Caenorhabditis elegans: one gene and its partners. The protein of the gene in region 1 interacts with the protein of each later gene in a pairwise test. Each region holds a gene or a part of one and is shown on either strand. Other genes may lie near its edges. The genes, in order: cul-1, skr-2, skr-1 and skr-10.

What was found.
Region 2: the proteins of cul-1 (region 1) and skr-2 interact in a two-hybrid assay, tested with the Caenorhabditis elegans proteins (3 studies listed by BioGRID).
Region 3: the proteins of cul-1 (region 1) and skr-1 interact in a two-hybrid assay, tested with the Caenorhabditis elegans proteins (4 studies listed by BioGRID).
Region 4: the proteins of cul-1 (region 1) and skr-10 interact in a two-hybrid assay, tested with the Caenorhabditis elegans proteins (2 studies listed by BioGRID).

Annotation. Positions count from the first base shown.
Region 1 is NC_003281.10:10,469,473-10,475,630, reverse strand, and holds cul-1 (Cullin-1), read right to left. Parts: upstream 4,395-6,158; 5' UTR 4,394-4,394; coding exon 4,266-4,393; intron 4,212-4,265; coding exon 2,981-4,211; intron 2,459-2,980; coding exon 1,997-2,458; intron 1,838-1,996; coding exon 1,511-1,837; intron 1,456-1,510; coding exon 1,393-1,455; intron 879-1,392; coding exon 747-878; 3' UTR 502-746; downstream 1-501. Other genes in the region: D2045.5 (non-specific serine/threonine protein kinase), read left to right, coding at 6,128-6,158. UniProt on the Caenorhabditis elegans protein: Probable core component of multiple cullin-RING-based SCF (SKP1-CUL1-F-box) E3 ubiquitin-protein ligase complexes which mediate the ubiquitination and subsequent proteasomal degradation of target proteins.
Region 2 is NC_003279.8:9,468,030-9,471,137, reverse strand, and holds skr-2 (Skp1-related protein), read right to left. Parts: upstream 1,485-3,108; 5' UTR 1,435-1,484; coding exon 1,354-1,434; intron 1,173-1,353; coding exon 903-1,172; intron 858-902; coding exon 684-857; 3' UTR 501-683; downstream 1-500. Other genes in the region: twk-29 (Potassium channel domain-containing protein), read right to left, coding at 2,286-2,362, 2,416-2,632, 2,680-2,875, 3,015-3,105.
Region 3 is NC_003279.8:9,469,601-9,473,211, forward strand, and holds skr-1 (Skp1-related protein), read left to right. Parts: upstream 1-1,949; 5' UTR 1,950-1,963; coding exon 1,964-2,044; intron 2,045-2,228; coding exon 2,229-2,504; intron 2,505-2,549; coding exon 2,550-2,723; 3' UTR 2,724-3,045; downstream 3,046-3,611. Other genes in the region: skr-2 (Skp1-related protein), read left to right, coding at 104-184, 366-635, 681-854; calm-1 (EF-hand domain-containing protein), read right to left, coding at 3,097-3,314, 3,609-3,611. UniProt on the Caenorhabditis elegans protein: Probable essential component of SCF (SKP1-CUL1-F-box protein) E3 ubiquitin-protein ligase complexes, which mediate the ubiquitination and subsequent proteasomal degradation of target proteins.
Region 4 is NC_003282.8:15,944,762-15,947,898, reverse strand, and holds skr-10 (Skp1-related protein), read right to left. Parts: upstream 1,093-3,137; coding exon 514-1,092; downstream 1-513.

The DNA of each region.
Region 1 (6,158 bases):
AATTACACAAAAACGAAAATTTGAAATTACAGTACTCTTTAAAGGCGCACACCTTTTCACATTTAGCAAAAATTTGTCACGTCGAGACCGGGTACGGAAAATTTCGCGACTGTGTAATAAAAAACAACTGAAAATTCAAATTTCCCGGTCAACGCAACGTGGAAAGTTAGCCTTCAAATAGTAGTCTATAAACAGAGAAGACTGAGCAAAGCATTAGTGTGAAGACTCAGAGCAGTGGGAAAAAGTGCATCTGGTGAACAGACGGAGGGGTCAGAGCAGCAGTAGTGTCTCATCCAAATTGTCTTGTTGTAATAATTCGTCATCGATTTTTTTGTTGTCTGTGGTTCAAGTGACTACTCACCTTTTTGCATTTGGCCTTGAAAAAACTGAAAAATTCACTTGGAAGTTGAATTTTTTTTTAATTTTTCCGAAAAAAGACGAAAAAAAATCAAAAAGGTTTACCGAGTATACGGTTTTTCGAATATTCTACACACAAACGATTTACAAAACCCAGGACCATTTACCAGAGAGCGCAAAATGAAGCCAGGACCCGCTTCTGTAAAGAAGAACAATCGAATAAGGAGGGACTTGGAGAGGAGAATAAGTAATAGAATACAGATGGTGTTGAAGTTTTCAAAAACACGGATATGAAGGGAAGAAGAGGGTGGAGAATAAAACTGGGCGAAAAAAGTAAAGGGGAAAAATAGTTTTTAAAAGAGAAAATAGAATATTTAAAATGAAATGAATTAGGCGAGGTACTCATAGAGATCTTTTTGTCCTTCTGTACGGAGCATATATTCCTTTTCGATGAGTGATCCAATGCATCTCTTGATCATTTCAACCTTTGGCTTGAATCGACCGGAAAGTTGTGTGATCACCTGCAAAAATATCATATTTAGAGGGTTTTAGATGTTTTTTCTTTGAATTTCCAAGTGGAGTTTTTTAAAATTTCAAAGAAAATTCGATTTTTCCGGTGATTTTTTTTTTTCAAATTTCATGGAAAACTTGATTTTCCACGTGGATATCATCTTTTATTTTAGGGGTTTTAATTTATTTCTTCAGAATTTTGTGTTGAAAATGCACTACGAAAGCTCGAAAATTTTGAAGATTTTTTTTTCAATTTTTACAGAGTTTCTACCAATTTCAGGTGAACTTTTTTTTTGAAAATTGAATTTCCAAGAGAATTTTATCGAAATTTCATAAGAAATTCGAATTTCGACGCGTTTTTTTTACGAAAATGTATAGAAAATTTGAATTTCCACGTAGATTTTATCAACAAATTATGAAAAACTCGTTTTTCCATAATCAGATTTTTTTCGAAAGTTCATTAAAATTAAATTTCCACGTAGATTTTATCGATTTTTTTCGAAAATTTGAAATTTCCAAACGAACCTCTGTCATAAGCTGCTGATGCTGTACACGTTTGCGAGTTTTCATGATTCTTACGATGCAAGCCTGAAATTATTGAATTTTTCTCTCCAAAACCGCCGATTTCTCATCAAAAACTTACACTAATCACGCTCTTCCGATCCTCCTCAACATTTTTCTGCACATTTTCCGTATCACGCACGGCGTCCTGCTTCATCGTGAATTTTGACAAATCGACACGAACTTTCTTGTTCATGTAGGCTTTGTTGAGGCTTACGGTCGCCGTCATCGGTACTTCATCCTCTTTTTGGAGTTCTGTGTCCGCTTTGAGCACAAGATTTTTGATGAGAGAGCCGACAATGGCTGGTGCTGACTTTTCGTCCATTTTTGTGGCAGCGGCGATTTGTTCGACAGTGTACGAGTCCTGTTCGTTGAACAAAAGCATTGTGCACATTTGAGCAGTTGTGGCCTGGAAAATTTTAGGTTTTTAGCTGTTATTCGATAAAATCCAAGTGAAAATTCAAATTTTAGCTGGGTGGCAGATAGTAAAATTTTGGACTTTTTTCAGGCATTTTCTTCCGGATTTTTAAAAAATATTTTTAGATAGAAATTCCACGTTTAAACTTACAGTAAACACATATTTCTTGGGAAAAGCTGTAGAAGTGATCTCTCCACGACTCTGCGAGTAAACCCACGTGAGCCGACGTCCATTGAACTTCTCATTGTAGAATTGTCCAAAGATCTCAATAGTCTTCGACAGCTGCTGTGGAAGAGTTATTGGTGTCGTTGGGAAAGTCGGCCATGAGCCCGAACTGAGCACGAGAACATTGAATTCAACGGATTTCTGGCCGAGCATATCCGCTTTCTTTTCCTTGAAATCCGCGGTTAAATCCTTGCTGACTTGAGTATCGTTGACCATTTTCGAGAGACGGGCGGTATACTCGTACCCGCACATACTCTTGAGCTTCGTGATAAAGTTAGCCTCGGCTTCATCACTTGCTGAGAGTTCACTGATAAGTCGTTTGCTGAACATTTTCGTGTAGAATTTGGAGAATACATCCTTATCGTCAATGTACTTGAACACAACCATCTGGAATAGAAATTTTAGAATTTTGAGCTAACTTTTTAGAAATTGGGTTTTCATTTCTATGGAGGTTTGAAATATTTTAAATCTTTTAATCCTTTAATATGGCAATTTTAGATAAAACCTCAAATTTTCCCGTATGTCGGAAATTGATTTTTAATTGATTACTGGCGTTTTTCGTTGATTTAGGTCGATTTATAGCCACATTTAAACGTCAGAAAAAGGTAAATAATTGAAAAGTTGGGAAAATTGCCGTATTTTTCGAAATTTTGAGAAGCCTCGATATGAATCGATATGAAAAAATCGGTATGAAAAACGATATGAAAAAAAGGAGAGGAATCTGTTTTTTTTTTTCAGCGAAAATCTCAAATTTAGCCAACTTATCAGTTTCGCAGTGTGCACTCATCGATCGAAAATGTTCCTCAATCAACGAAATAAACAACCAAAATATGCAAAAAGTTGGTTAAATTTCAAATTTTAGCTGGAAATTACGCCATTTTGAGAAAAAAAAAAGCGAGAAAAACCTACAATCTTCGTCTGCAACTCCTCGAGCTCCGCCTCATCGGGCATCTTCGAGCTTTTTCTGAGCAGTTGATCACAATATCTGGCAAGAAGCTCCGCGGACTTTGTCAACTGAGCCTGTGGCGGGGCACGTTTAGTGACGGCATTATTATTGATAAAAGAAGTCGCCGCCTTATCGAGTGATTGCATGAATCCTGGCTCATTTTTGAATGATCGATTGACAAGGCTTTGATAACGTTCATGAACCTCCAGAAGCGTCTTCACGTAGAGTTTCGCGTCGGTTGCCGCCTCCATAGCAACTCTTTCCAACGCCTGGTGACCCTCCTTTGCGATGTGATTCTCCAGGGATTTTCTGAGCTCGTCGAGTCCATTCGGCACTCTATCGCAAAGCTTGAACATTCTGGAAAGGTCATCGTCTCGTTTATCGACAAGAAGACCACCGAAGTGTCTCTGGAGGAAGTCAAGCTGATTAGAGATGAGCACAGATTCACAGCAAGTTGCAAGTGGAGTTTTTGTGGAAGAATTCAGGTAGAGTTGACAGCGATCATCCTCTTGATTAAGTCTTGTCTCCACTTTAATCATGTAATCTGTCACATTTCCTCCGTTGCTCAGGAAATTTGCCGCCTCTTGGGTATAAAATCCGCGGGTCGCCTCCAAAAACTTGACTTCGAAGAATTCCTTGTAAACGGCCAGCTTCTTGGTCTCCGCGTCCTTCTTCGCATCGGTCTCCGAATCGTCAACACCCAACTCCACAAGACACTCGACAACTCCAGAAATGTATCGGCTGTTGATCATGGATCCGGTTCTCTCGGAACGAATCAGCTCGAGCATCGCATCAATCACCTTATCCTTAAGATCATTGAACAAGTTACGCTTCCAGACGACCAACGCAAGTGTATAAACCATGTAAATGTTCTCATGGCCCTCGTCGAGCTCACGTCTGATCCAATGACGATTGAGGTAGGCAAAAATACCATCCATCACCTTCGACGAGATTCGGAAGTTCTCCCATTCAGTTGTGTAGTATTTCAGAAGATCCTCGCCCGACAACTCGGCGCCCTTTTCACAAACAGCGATTACGTACGCTTTTACATATTCCTCAACACGCTGGTACATCTCGTGACCGACAAAATCCGCGCCAGCGGTTCGTGCTGGAGTTGAAGATTCTGCTCGACCGTCTTCGCCGTCTCGGCGGCTTGTGGACAATGTTATCGATGTGCAGTAGTCATAGACGCTTCTGAAAATTAAAGATTTTATTGAGTTTCTGTGGAATTTCGGGGGGAAATCTTACGTGTAAAGAGTCATATAGTCTTTTGGCGCCATATTTTCTCTGCGATACGCTACATCAAGTCCATCTTGTAATTTCTTCCAAACCACCTCGGAATCACACGTCATTCTTCTCGGTTCGCTATTTGTCATACTGAAAAACACATTTTTAAAAAATAATTGTCGATTAAAATCAAGGGATTTGTCAATTTCGCAAGAAACAGAGGAACGAGGAAACAAGGGCCCAAACGCAAACGCGCTCCAATCCAAAATCATCATGTGTTGGGAAAAAGTCACCGAAGGTGGAAATAATGGGCTTGAAATTGAGAAAATTTATGAGATCCCGGAAAAATAGATGTTTTCAAAAAAATTGGAAAACTGGAGCAAAATTGGGGGAGAAATATAGATATCCTGGAAGAATAGAAAAAAAAGACGAAAATCCAGAGCCATCACTGAATGGGGATACTTGTGAGCCAGCAGACGTTAGAAATGACTCGATAGTGAGCCTCCGACTGGAAATTAAGAAGACGCGCTGAAAATCGCGGGAAGACAGTAAATCGATTGCCCTCGGACGCGATTCTCACCGCAAATCGATAAATTTAACTGGGAATTGGAGGGAAAATAGGAGATTTTCTAATTTGCTAGCCTGGGAAAAGGGGAAATTAAATAAATACATAAGGAAATTGTTCCAGCGATAATTCTAGCTTTTCAAGTGATACTGGGGAAATAAATTAAATTGTTCTTAACAGGAGATTTTCAAAAACTCTGTGAATTTTGGAAAATTTTCAGATGAAAGACACCTAAATAATAATAATTTTAGACTATTTCATTTTCCCCGGGACTCAGGAATTTCCAAGAACAGAAAAAAAGCGAATTTCAGTTGATTTTTCAGAGCCCATTTCAGTGAGCTAAACACCCTTGGAGACGGAGACTGCGCGACACAAGCTAGAGACGCCTCATCTTGTGTCTTCATCGATTCTTAAAGAAATTCTGGTGAGTACAATGGTTCTGTTAGTGCACAAAAGACAGCTGAGATGGCGGGATGATCTGGAAAAGAAAGGTCACAGGAGGGAATGATTAGCGGCTGTGCAATGAACGGGCGGAGTTTTCTAAGGTTTTAACAATAGCAAAGTTTGTTTTTTAGGTGTTTCGATGTGCAAAATACACGAAAGCGAATTTTTAATAGTTTAAAGTTGAAAAACGCGTTTTCATTCGAGAAAAACTGGAGAAAACATGCATTTTATGCAGAAAAAAAAGTAAAAAAAGAATTCGATAAAACAACAGGTGGAAAACAGATTTTTAACTGTACATCGATCCTGGCGATGCCCAAAGGAAATTTTAATTAGTGGAAGTAATAATCGAAGTACTGTAGAACTAGGTTTTTTAAACAGGAGCCCATAAAACTGTAATCATTTTTTATATTTCTATTGCGGAAAAGAGGAGAAATTATTCTTTCACAAATAAATAGACAAAAACTGAAAAAAAATGAACAAAAATCGCTGTAAAACTCGAAACAGTTCTTGGCGGGACTCGGTAAACTTATTAGTTCGTGCGCCTTTAAAAAGATACTGTACCTGGAATAACAAGAAAAAACAACATTAATTAAATCTAAGAACATTTTGTATTCTTACAAGACTTACATGATTTATCAGAATATGTTGCAACTATTTGGTATAAAATAGGAAATAAATAGTTTTAGAATTTTCACCGTAATCATATGATCGGTGAACAACGGCCGTGAAAAATAAAAAATATTTTAAAATGTGAATAACAAAAAACCAATACATAAAAGGATTGAATAAATAATTAAATTTATTTCAATATTTCGAAAAGCTACATTTCTCTATTAGCTACACAGTTTCAATCGATTTCGTGGTCAGAATCAGTATGGAAGAAATTCAAGCGATCACAGAAGGAA
Region 2 (3,108 bases), on another chromosome or scaffold:
TTGCAGATATTCAGAGATAATGTTTTTTAATTATATAAAATTAAAAAGAGAGCGGACGGCGTACATAATATAGTCTTTTCAGCGAATATCGGCACTCGATTTTTGATAGATAGAAAAAGGAGAATATCAGGAAAAAAAAAATGAAAGAAATGGAAAAAATAGATCTCGTTTTAAAGATATCGCAACTTTCAGTTAAATGCGGGGATTTAGCAGCGTCAGGCGCAATATGCGATAAAGTCATGTAAATACATTACTTGAATAACCCCATTCGCAATTAATCACAGAAAGTAATTTTCATTCACACGATCCGTAGCTTTTAAAACTGAGAAAAGTATTGTTTTTTTATTTATTTCGAAATCTACGCGCGCGGAAAACGAAGCAACTTTGGCCTAGAATTTCACATCTCGTCATCTTCCATTTCAAAAGTGAAGGATCTATAGTCCTGTTCAGACTAAAAAATACTATTGCTGTGGCTTTAAAACCAATTGCATTGTTTGCAATTTTCATGTTCACATCAACTTTATTGAATGAAAAACAGAACTGTACACAGTTGTGTCAGCTGGCAGTGAAGAAATTTGTTAACAATTAAAAAGTGCGTTTAATAAGGGGAAAGATATGGTGGATGATGTGAAACATTTAGAAAACAAGGTAATTGAAAGTTTAACAGGGGAAAAGATGGAGATTTAATCATCGCACCAGGCGTTTTCCTTACGGATTTGCTCTCTCTCCTCTGCAGTGAAGTCGTCCTTGATGTTGAAAGCACGACGAATTTCATCTGGAGATTTTCCCTTGATCATGTTGGCGACAGACTGGCAGGCGACATCAAGAAGTCCTTTGATGTCCAAATAGTTGGCAGCCTGAAAATAGGAATTTAAAATATTGCAACTAAAATAACAAGTTACCAAAATGAGCTCGAAAAGGGTTCCTTGGTCAATATCGAGAAATTTTTTGTCCCAGTCTTGGATGGAACCATCCGTTTTCTTCTCACTGTCTTCAGTTGGAATTGGGTCGGACTGGTGTTTGGTGCACCAGTTGATAACCTTCTTCAAAATCGAGGCAGTGACGTTTTGCACTGGAATTGGCTCAGCGTTGGTTCCTTCATCGTCGTCGAGCCCGAGGTCCACAAGAAGAGTGTTGAGAGTGTTTGAGAGACGGATCACATTGCGTGGGACCTGGAAGTTCAGATTGCAATTTTTCCCATGCCATCTAGCGTACAGTGCCGCTTTTTTTGTTGATTTATTAAAAATCAACTAGGCTACTAAACATTTTCTATAAGAACTGCGAAAGCGTCTTATCGACCCGAAGCCTAGTTTTTCAGATAAAAATGACAATAACAAACGAATTTCAGCTTACCAAGAAGATTTCATCATCCGAAGACGAGATCTTGATTTCGCGGTTCTTTGCTGCTTCGGATGCTTCCTTTTGGTCAGCCATCGTGTTGTAGTTGACTGGAATTAAAATTAGTTGTGACAGGGTCACTAACGAGAGAAGTGTACAAAAACCACGCGGAAAAAACAAAGCAATGGTTTCGTTGGAATTCTATCAGAATATCTGCAAAATAGAAAAACTATAACTAAAATAATAAGAAGAATGATTGAGAATACAGGAAAAAGATACTGGAATGAATTCTCAACGTCAATAAAAATCTGCTACTTATTGGTAGTCATCGAAAAATTTTAGCCAGAAAAATTGTATTTGAATATATTTCGAATTTGGTTGATGCTCAAACTACAAAACAATCAAGCACACCTGTATGTGAAAACATTTCAATTCTGGATAATTTAAATACTCAAGCTTCAATCATCCATCTATACATTGAGACGATTCACAAGAAATAGAAATCGCAACAAAAAATATTTGAAGACAAAAAAGAAAGTCGTTGAATGAACAACTCTTCGAAAAGCAAGTGACGATTGTTTGTTTCTTTCTCGAAGAAAACTAAAATTATAAATTTTATATAAAATTAGGAAAGAGAAAGTGTGCATTTTTATGTCGCGGTGTTTACGGAATAGTTTACCGTAACTTTTTGAAAACTTTAAAGAAATTGAATTCCTTCTGCGGGCGCAGTTTCTTCGAGAGATAGTAAATAAAATTGAGTTTTATATAATAAAATTGTATTATCAATTTTAAATATTCGATCTACCGACTTCACAAAAATAATAATGCTGTAAAATGTAATAATGTAGCTGGGAAAAGTTATATATGTTTTGTTTATGTCTATTTTTTTAAAGAAATTTTTAAAAAGTATTTATTTGAGATTTAAGAAAAGAAGAAAAAACAAAATGCTATGCATCTGTAGAAAGATCAGAGGTGATAGTTGTTGAAACATTCATAACGCCGTCGTGGCAAGCTTGATCTGAGTCTGAAATTGATTTCGTTAAAAATTCCCATTCACTTCAATTCTAGATAACATACCAGTTGAACCATTCAATTTGGCTTGCATTGCTCTTCGGCGTGGAATTGGAGACAATCGGGACGATGTGGTTTGTGATTTATCAGCAGCTGTTTCAGAATCAGATGTATCCTCTATTTCAGACATCATTGGTTCATCTTCAAAATGAACTGAAAATTTCTTAGGCCTCATATCAGTGAGATCATCTTCCGAATCGACAAAAAGTGGGAATTGACCATCCTGAAACATTATTTTCTTCGAATACTATAAAGTTTCAAATATCTCACTTTCATAAAAAGAGGAACAAGTTCTGGAGGCCATATTCCCTCAACAATCATATGTGTTTGAGGAACTCTTGAAAGTCTTCCCAATTTCACTTGAATTGCTGTTTTAACCAATGTATCAATATCTATGTCTGCTATCACATTCTGATCAATTCCAATATTCTGTCCAACTGCTGTGATGAGTTCTCGTACTTCCAAACTAAAAATATTAGCGATACAATTATTTTCTTTAATTAAAAGCTTTTTGACAAAAATAGAGAACGTTGTTATAGAAACAAATCGTAGCTAAAAGTTTTAGAACCAAATGAAACAATTTACGTCTCCTTTGCCAAACCCACTTCCTGGCACCGAACCAAATCCGAATGTTGGCAATGTTTTTTATTTTTTTGCCAATAAAATGTAGCTTTCGAACATAAATTGATCCAATATCTG
Region 3 (3,611 bases), on another chromosome or scaffold:
TTCCAACGAAACCATTGCTTTGTTTTTTCCGCGTGGTTTTTGTACACTTCTCTCGTTAGTGACCCTGTCACAACTAATTTTAATTCCAGTCAACTACAACACGATGGCTGACCAAAAGGAAGCATCCGAAGCAGCAAAGAACCGCGAAATCAAGATCTCGTCTTCGGATGATGAAATCTTCTTGGTAAGCTGAAATTCGTTTGTTATTGTCATTTTTATCTGAAAAACTAGGCTTCGGGTCGATAAGACGCTTTCGCAGTTCTTATAGAAAATGTTTAGTAGCCTAGTTGATTTTTAATAAATCAACAAAAAAAGCGGCACTGTACGCTAGATGGCATGGGAAAAATTGCAATCTGAACTTCCAGGTCCCACGCAATGTGATCCGTCTCTCAAACACTCTCAACACTCTTCTTGTGGACCTCGGGCTCGACGACGATGAAGGAACCAACGCTGAGCCAATTCCAGTGCAAAACGTCACTGCCTCGATTTTGAAGAAGGTTATCAACTGGTGCACCAAACACCAGTCCGACCCAATTCCAACTGAAGACAGTGAGAAGAAAACGGATGGTTCCATCCAAGACTGGGACAAAAAATTTCTCGATATTGACCAAGGAACCCTTTTCGAGCTCATTTTGGTAACTTGTTATTTTAGTTGCAATATTTTAAATTCCTATTTTCAGGCTGCCAACTATTTGGACATCAAAGGACTTCTTGATGTCGCCTGCCAGTCTGTCGCCAACATGATCAAGGGAAAATCTCCAGATGAAATTCGTCGTGCTTTCAACATCAAGGACGACTTCACTGCAGAGGAGAGAGAGCAAATCCGTAAGGAAAACGCCTGGTGCGATGATTAAATCTCCATCTTTTCCCCTGTTAAACTTTCAATTACCTTGTTTTCTAAATGTTTCACATCATCCACCATATCTTTCCCCTTATTAAACGCACTTTTTAATTGTTAACAAATTTCTTCACTGCCAGCTGACACAACTGTGTACAGTTCTGTTTTTCATTCAATAAAGTTGATGTGAACATGAAAATTGCAAACAATGCAATTGGTTTTAAAGCCACAGCAATAGTATTTTTTAGTCTGAACAGGACTATAGATCCTTCACTTTTGAAATGGAAGATGACGAGATGTGAAATTCTAGGCCAAAGTTGCTTCGTTTTCCGCGCGCGTAGATTTCGAAATAAATAAAAAAACAATACTTTTCTCAGTTTTAAAAGCTACGGATCGTGTGAATGAAAATTACTTTCTGTGATTAATTGCGAATGGGGTTATTCAAGTAATGTATTTACATGACTTTATCGCATATTGCGCCTGACGCTGCTAAATCCCCGCATTTAACTGAAAGTTGCGATATCTTTAAAACGAGATCTATTTTTTCCATTTCTTTCATTTTTTTTTTCCTGATATTCTCCTTTTTCTATCTATCAAAAATCGAGTGCCGATATTCGCTGAAAAGACTATATTATGTACGCCGTCCGCTCTCTTTTTAATTTTATATAATTAAAAAACATTATCTCTGAATATCTGCAACTCGAAATTTAGTAAATATACCGTTCCTCCATTATCTTTCTAGTATTTTTTTAAAGACTTTGTCCATCCAATAAATTGTCATATTTGTCAATTCGTTCCCGCATTGCGTTCTATAACGATCGATAACTCTGCGTCTCTTCCTTTGTGTGTACACTGTTTCCTCGCTTCTCTACACTGTTTCCTCGCTTCTCTCGCATCATACGACACACTCACATTCTATTCGCTCATTTCTCAACGTTCTCATTCTATTTTTCGTTGTTTTTCTTTGTTTTGCAGGTATTTTGCGTTGGAAAATTTAAAACTTTTAATTTTTCTCGATGGAAATACTCTTAATCGTTCTTTTTTTTTTCTACCTGTTCTTCTTTATTATTTGTATGTAATCGTTCTTTTCACAATAATTTCTCAATTTCAATCGATTTCAACGCGATGGCTGATCAAAAGAAAGTATCCGAGGCGGCAAAGGAACGCGAAATCAAGATATCGTCTTCGGATAACGAAATCTTCTTGGTAAGATTCAAATTATTCCTTCGTTTTCGTTATTTTTGTCTAAAAAAACTAAATCGATAAGCCGTGCTGCATGCATGCGCGCGTAGAGTTTTGCTTCTTGGTATCCTAGGTGATCTGACTTATAGAAAAATAGACAATGTTAAATGTTCCACTATATTTGAAAATTCACAAACTAAACTTCCAGGTCCCACGCAATGTGATCCGTCTCTCAAACACTATCAACACTCTCCTGATGGATCTTGGACTCGACGACGAAGAAGGAACCAACGCTGAGCCAATTCCAGTTCAAAACGTCACTGCCTCGATTCTGAAGAAGGTCATTAGTTGGTGCAACCATCATCACTCCGATCCTATCTCGACTGAAGATTCCGATAACCGCGAGAAAAGAACTGACGACATAGGCAGCTGGGACGTCGAGTTTCTTAAGGTTGACCAAGGAACCCTTTTCGAGCTCATCTTGGTAACTTGTTATTTTAGTTCCAATATTTGAAATTCATATTTTTAGGCTGCCAACTATTTGGACATCAAGGGACTTCTTGATGTTACCTGCAAGACTGTTGCTAACATGATCAAGGGAAAATCTCCAGAAGAGATTCGTCGCACTTTCAACATCAAGAACGACTTCACCCCGGAAGAGGAAGAGCAAATCCGCAAAGAGAATGCCTGGTGCGAGGATTAAATTACCCTTCAGTTTGCCTATTTCTCTATTACATTTCTAAACGACATGTCGCTTCCTTCCCCTTCACACTTCACACATTGTCCTGATATGGTCTCTGTCTATTTTTTACATCATCTCTGGCAGCCCAAAAACTTCTTCCTTTTTTCACCTAATTAAAATGCATCTTTTGAATTTTAACCGCCATTCTATATTTATACCTATAAATCACCGACCGGCAAAAATTATGCAGTGTGAGATTCTCACACATTTCCTCCAATGAACATCAGTGTGTCCTTTACGTGATTGTACATGCCTAAAAATAAAGTTGATGAGACGATACAAAAAACAAACGATTTATGTAAAACATTGAAAAAAATATAACCCGTGAATGTATTTAAATTCTGATATGAAAAGTTCTAATGAAGTCAGGTGATCGAGAGACAACGTGTTCAAATTCTGCGAAGTTTATACTCGAGTCTCCATCCAAATCAGCTTCTTCAATAATTCGTTCAATTATAAATTCAACTTCTACATCACTCAGCTCATCTCTTGTTAAACTTCGAATCATTTTACTCAAATCATCATGTCCAAGAAGTTCATCTCCATCGTAATCTAAAACAATATTTTGATACTAAATTAAATATTATTACGCAGACCTCTAAGGACCGCTATTGCAATATAATTTTATCAGATATAAATGCAAAATTTATGTCATGATTGTTAAAATAACAATATGATATAATACAATTTATTTACGCGAGTTACAGTAACCCGTTGCCGGAATGGCGAGACGTTGCGCGTAAATTGTGGTGAAAATTCGCAACTATGGACGTCTACGTAATAAGAACCATATAACTTTTATGGATTGTTAATATCAAATGATTTTATGTCTAATCTCTTCCTTACCAT
Region 4 (3,137 bases), on another chromosome or scaffold:
AGGAAGCTTACTGGAGTTCTTGTTGCTAGGTAGTAAACGTTCCAACATAAAAATTGATATATGTGAATACATTTTTGAGCATCGCACAAAATTGCAAACTTTTCCGCAAAAGTGGCATGGTATTTTTGAATTTTTTGAATTAAAGTAACTAGATACGCGAGTTTTTTTTTGAATGCCCTTTCAACACTAGTTTATAAGGTTTAATTGTGACATTTTCAAACGTAATTGCTTTTGGTTAAATAAAAACTTACTGTTGCTTGTTTAGCCTCACTCTTAAAATCAACATATTGAAACAGTAGATGTTTTTTTTCAAAATTTCCAAATGTTTCAACAAGAAGATAGTCAAAGTGCATTCTGTGTTAGAACCTTGCTATGGAATATTTCATTTTAGGAATAACTCTTCAAAACAACACCTTGAAACTGTTAATAAAAATTTTGTGTAATGTTTGTCAACAAGATTACAGTCAAACTTATTTATTTGATAAGAAACACAAAACACTTGATACATAGAAATTATTTGGAAGTCGATGGTTCAGCTGCGTCCTTCTCAGCATTCGCCTTCTTCTCAGCTTCAGCCTTCTCCTTTGCAGCTCTCTCAGCAGCTTCATCCTCTTCATCAGTTGGAATTGCAAAGATGATTCTCAACTCATCAGGAGACTTTCCGATAGCCATCATGGCAACCATCTTGCATCCATAATTCATTAATCCAGGCACATCAAGGTAGTTGCAGGCAACAATCAAGTCGAAGAGCACTTCGTTGTCGATTTTCAAGAAGTTGGTATCCCATTCGGGAACAGTGATATGCTTTGGAACACTGTCATCATCAACTGGAAGTGCTTCTCCTTTGTGTTTCTCACACCATTCAATGACCATCTTCAGGATGTTTCCAGTGACATTTGTAATTGGAATTGGATCCATTGAAGCTACATCTTCTGGAGCACATGTAGAGATTAGATTGGAGAGTGTATTTGATTGTTTTACTGCTTCATCACTGATTTCGAAAACTGTTCCATCATTTGATTCAACTTTGTACATGATTGGAGCAGCAACTGGAGCTTCTTGGATTTCAACGGCAGCGACTTCAGCGGACATTGTTGGTAGTTTTAGAGTAGTTTCTGGAAAAATAATGGGTTGAAAAAATAAAGAAAGATGATTAAGTTAAGAAAATGTAGGAAAATCTGATTTCAAAAAGTAAAAAAAAGAACTGTATCTAACAGCTGTTATAATTTCGGGTAACAACGTTAGATAATAGTTTTGAAATGTGTATAGAAAGATAGAAAAAAATGTAGACGACTGCTCACAATGAGATATAAACGATAGAATGACTCTGCAGACAGACTATCCCTCAAAAAATGTTAGAAATCGATCGATTGGAACGCTGCGTTTGTTCAAAAAGTATTGATTAGTTTTCCACAGGGAGATGATGAGAAATGCCGTCAAGTTGAACGCGACGAGAAAAAGAAAATTTGACTGTTTCAACTGGTTGTTATACATTTGGATAAGATTTATATAGTATTGCATCTAAAGTTGATTGAAGAGTTATACACGCAAAATCAACAGCATGGAACGCTGCGTTTGTTCGAAAAATATCGATTTGTCTAAAAAGGTTTAATATCAACCGACAAGGTTGTTGAGGAGGCCCCTAATATTTTATCGATCAAAAAGTGGTCTGAAATAGTGTAAGCCTAAATTAATCCAAAGGGGTTTAAAGCAACAAATTTGACAAACTGGTTTACATATCCTCGATATGAATTTTACAAAAAAAAAGAAGAAAGCAAATCCCAATGCAATATTCGAATAAGGCTTGCGCTAAAATTTGATAACACCTCGAAATAGCAAAATTTAGAATTGATTTTAAATTTTTTTTGCAATATTGCGACATTTTCTCAAATTACATTTTAGGAGGTTTTTAGAAGATCAGAATATTTTTTAAGGTTATAGGTAATCGAATTTTAAAGTGATTTTTCGGTTTTATTAGTGGTACAACTTTAAGTAATTATCAAGTTTATTTCTCGATCGGGATTTGTTCAAAAATAGTTTATTATAAAAACTGCATCAAACAGGTATTATAGTTTTAGAGAGTTCAACATTTTTAATTGGACTAGAACTTTGAATGCTTAAAGTTTAAGGTTTTCAGACAAACAGATTCTGGGTCATTGATAAAACAAAAGAACGAAAAACCAAAAAAAAAAAAAATTTAAAAAGAAGGAAAAATAAAATGCAGCTGCCCAGGGTGAGAGCTAAATGCAAGAATGACCAATAGCCTAACTGGCTTCGGTTAAAAACGCTGGAAATGTAGGTCAAATTTTGACAGGATGAGATGAGACATTGTGTTATAGGCGAGGTTTAGAGAGAAAAGACCTTTGTTAGGGAAATCCTAGAGCAGGTGCACTGTCTGTTTTTCTAAACCTCCTAGAAATGCATTGAACTCTCTCTACCCAATATCAATAATTGACCTAGATTTGCAGCGTCCCAGTCGTTTTCTGGAAAAAAACAGTCTGCCTGATTGTGAGGAGTCATTTATACATTCTCTTCTCATTGTGAGTAGTCGCATTTTTTGTTCTTTCTTTTTTTCCATTTTTCAATGCATTCTATTTGTTTCTCCAATTTTTTATTCCATTTCCGACTTAATTCAATTTGGTTGCTACCTTGCTACGTCTGAGACTTGTAGATCAAATATTAACATAGTTGCTAGAATACAGTAACAAACATAACAGTTTTATAAAAACGGACCTAAATTTTGATTCTTTGCAAATTAGTCCAATATTTTTTTCCCGAGAAATACCCCCTAATTTTTACCCGAAATTTGGTATATTTTAGAAACAGTAATTTTTTTTTCACCTCTCCAATTACAAAAACGTATGCATCTTTGAGTTAATTTCCAGCACTTTCCTTGTCATATTCCTATAGTATTTCTAATGTGTATAATTAGTTCAGTATTAATACTATATAAATCGTATCCAAGTTTATAACAACCAATTGAAACAGTCAAATTTTCTTTTTCTCGTCGCGTTTAACTTGACGGCATTTCTCATCATCTCCCTGTGGAAAACTAATCAATATTTTTTTAACAAACGCAGCGTTCCAATCGATCGATTTCTAATATTTTTTTCGGCACACTCTGCATGTAGACTCAT